2 linked regions of the Cricetulus griseus genome follow. The protein of the gene in region 1 purifies or fractionates together with the protein of each later gene. This does not show direct contact. Links are inferred from orthologs where the notes say so. Each region holds a gene or a part of one and is shown in the gene's direction. Other genes may lie near its edges. The genes, in order: Ppp1r11 and Vcp.

Region 1 (4,305 bases):
GGCTACACAGATAAACCCCATCTGGGGGGGGGAAAGGAGTGGACTGGTAGGTTACAGCCTGTACAAGCTAGGGGCTTACACGTTAACAGGCTTTTTTTTTTTTTTTTTTTTTTTTTGGTCTCTCAAGCATAGTAACTCTAATTGTAATGTTAACCATTACAAAGGCAAAAAAAAAAAAGCTGTTAGACATATGCATATATTCTATCTAAATCTAGTTCCTCATTGTAAGGAAACAAAATATTTGGATAGGTAGTGTTGCACGAAAAAAATAAAAGACCGAGAGACAAATATTGGGGTTCAAGCTGAAGATCAGGGAAGCAAAGCAGCCAGCCACTAGCTCTCACCTCAAGCTCAAGCTGAAAGGGCAGATCCACACACGAGCTCTTCACCAAGCCTCAAACTGCTGCCTCTCCTCAGTGTGGCTGGAGAATGAATGCCTCCTACTGAATCCTGAAGACCCTGATTCTATCTTCTATACCCCTCTAGTGCTGGGATTAAAGGTGTGTTATCTGTCACTCTTTTAGACCGATTCAATGTCATGTATCCCTGGGTGGCCTTGAACTCAGAGAGATCCATCTACCACTTAATCCTGAGTTTCAGGACTAAAGGTGTGTACCACCACCTCCTAGCTTCTGACTGCTGGGATTAAAGGTGTGTGCCTGGCTTCTATGGCTTGTGGCTGACTTTGATTCTGAATCCTCAGGCAGGCTTTAATAAATCATAAATAATATATCACTGCAAGTGATTCAACAAAATTTAAGCAGATGTCTTTGAATTTGTTGCGGCGCCCCCCACAGCCTAGCCTTGGTATTCTTCAAACTGGGAACTAGAATAACAGGGAATACTTTTATTTTAGGACCTACCACGCTGGGAAAATTCCAAATTTAGTGTGCTCTCCCTCCCAGACTTACAGAGAGAGGACTAGAACCCAGTGCGTTTCCTGCTCCTGGAAAACGGTTTCTCGACAGAATGATAAGAAAATGGAACTTGGCCGAGTCCCACTTACTTTCCCGCCCAGGTTTATGGGTACAGCTGACAGGGTTAGGGGTGCTGAGCACACAGATCGCACATCCTCTGCGCTCCGCAGCTCCGGAGTTGACTCTTCCCCCAATGAACTTAGGCCCTGAAGGAGCTGGCCCCGCCCCACAGTGACGTCACTTCTGCTACCTGCGGCGTCTGCGCAGTGTTAGAATACGGCGGAACTGATCTGGCGACGCCTGCGCTTTTGCCCGAGCCGTGCCGGTGAAGGGAAACTGGGTTCTGCAGGATGCGTCACACCCGGAAGTGAAAGGCCGGAAGTGGGATTGGACAGGTTATGCCCAGGGGTGGGGAAGCAGAGGCCCTGGAGGAAGGGAAGAATAAGAATCCAGAGGTTCCTGGCCGCTACTCTGAATCGAGTACCGGATCTCTTAGATCCCAGAAGCGCAGAAAAAGGGAAGGGTGTCCCATCCCGCTTCCTGGCTTTTCGCTTTAGCCATGGCGGAGGCAGGGGCCGGGCTGAGTGAGACCGTCACTGAGACAACGGTTACCGTGACAACCGAGCCCGTGAGAAAGGCGGGCGGGGGGGCCTATTTAGGGGTCTGGGAGGAACTGGGAGGGAAGTAGGGCTTTGGAAAGTTGGAGGGTTTGGGATCTGGGACATGTGGGGATGACTCTTGGGAAGATCGCCAGGGACTGGGGATGCTTGGAGTGGCTCAGATCGTGATAGTGACCAGTCAAGGGACGTTACAGTCAGGGTATAGGTGTCACGGCTTGATGCGGTGGTCTGTGTACGTAATAAACGGAACCTGGGTTAAGGCAGCAAGGAAGGTCCTGGGAGGGAAGGAAAGGCTATTTGAGAAAGCATGGTTTTGGAGGCAAACGTAAAGGACGAGTACTTAACCAATAGATAGTCATGGAATGGGTGCGTGTTAAAGTGGGGGGCAGGGAATAAGGAAACAAAATAAGGTGAAGGTAGTATTTTGACAGATCAGAGAGGAGAGACGCAAATAAGGAAACAAGTAGAATTTTGCAAAAGCAAGTTAAATTGCTTTCAAGGGGAGGAAGATGGGTTGGGCGTAATGTCTGGGTTGAAGGAGTTTAGTAATTATTGCCAGAGATGCCAGGATGTTAGAGAATGAAGGCTTTCTTTGGAGAAGAAGGGTTTTGGATTTTTGTTTTATTTTGCTTGTTCAGGTGTGGCAGGGGCAGAAGTCAACCTTAGATTTTTCTCAGGCACGGTGTACCTGTTTGTGTGTGTGTGTGTGTGTGTTTTGTTTTGTTTTGTTTTGCTTTGCTTGTTGATTTGAGAAAATCATTTTTCCTGGAGCTGCCAAGTCAGCTAGACTGGCTGTCAAGAGATCTGCCTGTCTTCACATCTCCAGTACTGGTATTACAAACATGCACCACCACTACACCTAACTTTTTTTTTTTAAATATGGATTTTGGGAATCAAACTCAGGAAGCACTTTACCAACAGAACTGTCTCGGAAGCCCTGCTTTATTATTATTTTTTAAATTTTTATTTTGTTTTTGAAAGGAAAAGCTTTACCACATTGCAGAGGCTGGCTTCTGTTGGCTTCTGTCTCCGTCTCCTATATGCTTAGCTCACATGCTTCTAATCTCTTTAGCGGGAACGTAAGTAAGAGGTGTGGAGAAAGGAAGGAAGGCCAAAGACCAGTCACAGGGAACTGAGAAAATAACTCTCCGGTATTGGCACCACCAAGGATGATTTGGAAGGAAGATGAAGAAACAGGGAGGGTTGTGCTTTCCTTTGGAGATTTACCGGCACCTTCCCTAGGTTAAGGACTGTCCTTTTTGCATACTAGTAGTTTTCAAGAATAGGAGTTCACATTCCTCATGAAAAGGTTAAAAACATGGTCTGTTTTGGCTCCCAGCACCCGGCTCCTCCAGTGGCCTGGTGTATGGTACTGATTGAGCAAGGGAGGAGAAAAGAGGAGGTACCTTGGGAAACAGGAAAGGTCAAGAGGAGATTAGCTAGATGGGCCCATACCTCTTAACCTTACAGGAGAATCGGAGCCTAACCATTAAACTTCGGAAACGGAAGCCAGAGAAAAAGGTGGAATGGACAAGTGACACTGTGGACAATGAACACATGGGGCGCCGCTCATCAAAATGTGAGTGCTGTTGCCCCAGCAGCCCTCACCACTGCCTCCCAGACCTTTACGGTTCTCTTTACTTTCTTGGGAAAGAAAATAGATGGGGATAGAGCTAAAACTAAGAGTTGCCAAGTCTGTGGAGCAAGCCATGTCGGAGTGGGAGAAAGATGCTTCTGGGTCTCTGAAGAGACAAAGAGTGTGGATGCCAGAGTCCCTGGGGTGGGAGGCTTAAGGGGCATGGATTCTGGAAGGTGGGAGAAAAATTGCACATAAATCTGTTGGAAATGAAACAGACTGGACATTGTGTTCCTCATCCTTCTTAACTGATTTCCTCTCCCTACATCTAGGCTGCTGTATTTATGAGAAACCTCGGGCCTTTGGTGAGAGCTCCACCGAGAGTGAGGAGGATGAAGAAGAAGGTTGTGGTCACACACACTGTGTGCGGGGTCACCGCAAAGGACGGCGTCATTCAACCCCAGGACCCACTCCAACCACTCCCCCCCAGCCTCCTGACCCATCTCAGCCCCCTCCAGGACCTATGCAGCACTAAATCCCTCTCACCATGTGTCTGCCTGGCCCCAAATGTATCCATCTGGCTACATGGGGATTCAACCCATGGTCTGATCCCTTCTCCTGCCCCCTCCTTCCCTCTCCTGCCTGATAGAGAAGAGGAAGAGGAGGGTGGATAGAGATCCTGGAATTCTGACTTGCTGCTGTTCCAGAACCCAGGCTTCTGGGTTCTCCCAGCCTCTCCTTCCCTACAGTTTGCTCTGTGCCTGGGATTCAGGCATCTTGGTCTCAGTCTGTCCCTTTTGTTCTCACTGCCAAAACACCTGTCCTGGGATCCAGTTATCTTGGCCACCTGCACCCTTAGCTTGAGTCCCAAGCATTTAAATTGGGTTTTCAACCATCCCAGCTTTCACTGCCAGGACCCCAGTCAGATTCCAAGCAATATTGCACCCCAGCTCTGCATATTAATCCTGGCTTACAGTTCTTCCACTTACGAAGTTATCCTAAATCTTAGTCCTTGCCTGTGGGAATCTAAGGTTTTGGGGACACCATAGGGTTCTGCTCTTACCCCTTCTGACCCTCAAAAGGGTCAGAACCTATAATGGAAAGTGGACCCCAAAAATAGTCATGACCTGAATATAGCATTTCTGAGCTGGCTGAGACCAATGACTTAGAGCCTACAAGTTTCTCAGCCTTT
Region 2 (3,811 bases), on another chromosome or scaffold:
TGTGGCTTTGGAGGCTGTCCTGGAACTCTGTAGACCAGGCTGGTCTCAAACTCACAGAGATCCGCCTGCCTCTGCCTCCCAAGAGCTGGGATTAAAGGTGTGTGCCACCAAAGCCTGGCCACCAACTCATTCTTATACTCCACGGTATATTACAGTTCTGCTGGCTTGATTTCTTTATCTCACCTGTCTTTCATCTACATTGTTTTTTTTCTATTCTGTATTCCCTCTAGAGCAGTGGTTCTCAACCTTTCTAATGCTGCCACCCTTTAATACAGTTCCTCATGTTGTGGTGAGCTCCCTGATCATAAAATTACGTTGTTGCTACTTTCATAACTAATTTTGCCACTGTTACGAATCATAATGTAAATATCTGATATGGGAAGGGCCCTTTGACCCCAAAGGGGTTGTGACCCACAGGTTGAGAACCATTGCTCTAGAGTAACTACCCGTCTTGGTTTCCCTAAACCTGAAGAATTTCCAGGTTGTGAGGCATTAATGTTAACTCTAAATAAGAGAGTTTTGGAGTGACTTCACTGTGGACCAGAAATTGTTCCTATTTTACATTCCTGCATTTTCCCACAGGTCGCTTTGACAGAGAGGTAGATATTGGAATCCCTGATGCTACAGGACGCTTGGAAATTCTTCAGATCCATACCAAGAACATGAAACTGGCAGATGATGTGGACTTGGAACAGGTGGAGTGGTGATGATGGCTGGCCAAAACCTTGGGTAGCTCTGTTTTTAGGAAGTTGCAAGGGACTACTAACATAGTCTAAGATAAGAGTTCATATCAGTAATCCCAGAATTTGGGGAGGGTGAGGCAGAGGCAGGAGGATCTTGAGTTTGAGGTCAGTGTGGGCTACCCAGCAAGAGTCTATCTTTTCATTTTTTTTTTTTTTTAGAGCTGCATGGAGCTTATTTTGATTTCAGGGTAGAAAATGTGTTTCTTAATTGTTGCTCTGTTAAGAGTAATTCATACATTGTTGAACAGCTTTATTTCTAGCTCCCAAATCCAGGCTTAAGTATTTAATACTTGCCACTAAAAGGTCTGCTGTAGTATATATCTCTTTAAGGAAATAAAAGGAATCAGAGATAGGAATCGGGGTGGACTCAGGATTCTGTTTCTGACTTCTTAAGGAAGTGGTTTCTTGAGGATAGTCAGTAGATCTTTTCTCTGCAGGTAGCCAATGAGACTCATGGCCATGTAGGTGCTGATTTGGCAGCCCTGTGTTCAGAGGCTGCTCTGCAGGCCATCCGGAAAAAAATGGACCTTATTGATCTTGAGGATGAGACCATTGATGCAGAGGTCATGAATTCCTTGGCAGTTACTATGGATGATTTCCGGGTAAGGACTATATCCACAAATAGTTATTTTGTTGTATGCACCCCCCACCCTCCATCTCATTCCCCTTTTTCAAACACCCTTTTTAGTGGGCCTTGAGTCAAAGCAACCCATCAGCACTTCGGGAAACTGTGGTAGAGGTGCCACAAGTAACCTGGGAAGACATTGGAGGCTTGGAAGATGTCAAACGGGAGCTTCAGGAACTGGTTCAGGTAGGCCAATTTGCTCTAGGGTGGTGGGTCATTGCCTCAATGTATAGTAATTGGCCGTTTAGGTCTCAGACTCAAATCTACTTAGAATTGTGACTATAATTCAGAAGCCTGCTCTTACTGAGTTTTAGGTAGTAAGGAGCCTATTTAAAAACTAGCACCATAGACCATAGGATGTGCCACAAAGTAGATGATATGCTTCTGATTTTTTTAAAAGATTTTATTTATTTATTATGTTTGCCTGCATGCCAGCAGAGGGCACCAGATATCATTCAAGGTGGTTGTGAGCCACCAGATAGTTGCTGAGAATTGAACTCAGGACCTCTGGAAGAACAGTCAATGCTCTTAACTGCTGAGCCACCTCTCCAGCCCTATGCTTCTGATTAATAACGATTTTATTTAAAATATTGAGAGGTTGCCCTTAAATCATCTTTGCTTTCTTCTAGTATCCTGTGGAGCATCCAGACAAATTCCTCAAATTTGGAATGACCCCTTCCAAAGGTGTTCTCTTCTATGGACCTCCTGGTTGTGGGAAGACCTTGCTGGCCAAAGCCATTGCTAATGAATGCCAGGCTAACTTCATCTCTATCAAGGGTCCTGAGCTGCTCACCATGTGGTTTGGGGAATCTGAGGCCAATGTCAGGGAAATTTTTGACAAGGTGAGTTTTCAGAGGCTGGCTGTTCATATGTTTGGGGGCAAGGTAAGATAGGAGGCTATTTCTTCATAGTCAAAACTATTTTATTACTGGCAGCTCAGTGATTGCTTTCTTCTGAAGTTTGAGAGATTAATTAATATTTGAGTTGATCTCTTTCTTTCTCCCAGGCACGGCAAGCTGCCCCCTGTGTACTATTCTTTGATGAGTTAGATTCAATTGCCAAGGCTCGTGGTGGTAATATTGGAGATGGTGGTGGAGCTGCTGACCGAGTCATCAATCAGATCCTGACAGAAATGGATGGCATGTCCACAAAAAAGAATGTGTTTATCATTGGAGCTACCAACCGGCCTGACATCATTGATCCTGCTATCCTAAGACCTGGCCGTCTTGATCAGCTCATCTATATCCCACTTCCTGATGAGAAGTCCCGTGTTGCCATCCTGAAGGCTAACCTGCGCAAGTCTCCAGTTGCCAAGGCATGTGCAAAGTTGTCAGCCATGAAGCCTTTTTTTCTATCCTGGATAGGATGCCATTGGGGATTTGTAGGTTTTCTAAAGGCAATATGAGAGATTTGTGAATATTAGGATAATTTAAGAGATACAGAATAAAATGGGGTGGCAGAGCCAAGAGTAGCTCAAAGATCTATGTGTCCCATGGGAGGCAGTTAACGATGCTAAACTAAGTAGCTTTTTTGCTTCCTTTAGGATGTGGATTTGGAGTTCCTGGCTAAGATGACAAATGGCTTTTCTGGAGCTGATCTGACAGAGATTTGCCAACGTGCTTGTAAACTGGCCATTCGTGAATCTATTGAGAGTGAGATTAGGCGAGAACGAGAGAGGCAGACAAATCCATCAGCTATGGTGAGTCAGTATCTTTGTTCAAATGTGCCATTCTAGGGACCATCCTCCATGACCCAGAGTTGAGAGTAGAAGGTATTAGGAGGGTCCCTTTACTGAGATGTTAAGCAGGGAATCCTAGAAAATGAATAAACAGCTAAGCTGGGTGTGGTGCAGGCATATTCCAGCTCTCGGTGAATGCAGCAAGATGAGAAATAAAGGGCCCTACATGAGACTTTTAGAGATAAAGGGTTGGGTTGGGTAAGCTTGATGCCTTGAGGGAAATGAAAGTATGATTGTGCAACAGAACAGAACAGGGTTTTTTATTTATTTAATTTTATTTTTATATGCACTGGTGTTTTGCCTGCATGTATATGTGTGTGAGGGTGTCTGATTCCCTGGAACTGGAGGTATGGACAGTTGTGATCTGTCATATGGGTGCTGGAATTGAGCCTGGGTCCTCTGGAAGAGCAGCCAGTTCTCTTAACTGCTGAGGCATCTCTCGAACCCTCTGGAAAAGGATTTTTAAACTGAAGTCTGGACTTCAGCATCCTGGTGGGGAAGGGAATTCTTGTACTCTCAAAATAGAAAAATTAAGTATAAGAATGTAAAAACTATGAAATTTACAATTCTGTCTCTACTGTAGTTCCACTGTTTGGAGGTTTGTGAATGAATAAGAAATGAGCAAGTTGCTTTCTTTACCCTTTGGAGAGGTCCTTTGTGTCAATAAACTGCTACAGTGGTGGGAGGGAAAGGAGTCGAGGAATA

Evidence for each region.
Region 2: the proteins of Ppp1r11 (region 1) and Vcp purify together in Homo sapiens (affinity purification with western blotting; 3 studies listed by BioGRID, with this or other methods). This does not show direct contact. The link is inferred for Cricetulus griseus from reciprocal best matches to the Homo sapiens genes PPP1R11 and VCP.

What each region holds. Positions count from the first base shown.
Region 1 is NW_023276806.1:228,772,662-228,776,966, forward strand, and holds the start of Ppp1r11 (E3 ubiquitin-protein ligase PPP1R11), read left to right. Parts: upstream 1-1,318; 5' UTR 1,319-1,476; coding exon 1,477-1,545; intron 1,546-3,007; coding exon 3,008-3,116; intron 3,117-3,445; coding exon 3,446-3,648; 3' UTR 3,649-4,305. UniProt on the Homo sapiens protein: Atypical E3 ubiquitin-protein ligase which ubiquitinates TLR2 at 'Lys-754' leading to its degradation by the proteasome.
Region 2 is NC_048595.1:100,551,393-100,555,203, forward strand, and holds part of Vcp (transitional endoplasmic reticulum ATPase), read left to right. Parts: intron 1-582; coding exon 583-695; intron 696-1,180; coding exon 1,181-1,345; intron 1,346-1,431; coding exon 1,432-1,554; intron 1,555-1,997; coding exon 1,998-2,210; intron 2,211-2,374; coding exon 2,375-2,683; intron 2,684-2,911; coding exon 2,912-3,067; intron 3,068-3,811. UniProt on the Homo sapiens protein: Necessary for the fragmentation of Golgi stacks during mitosis and for their reassembly after mitosis. Involved in the formation of the transitional endoplasmic reticulum (tER).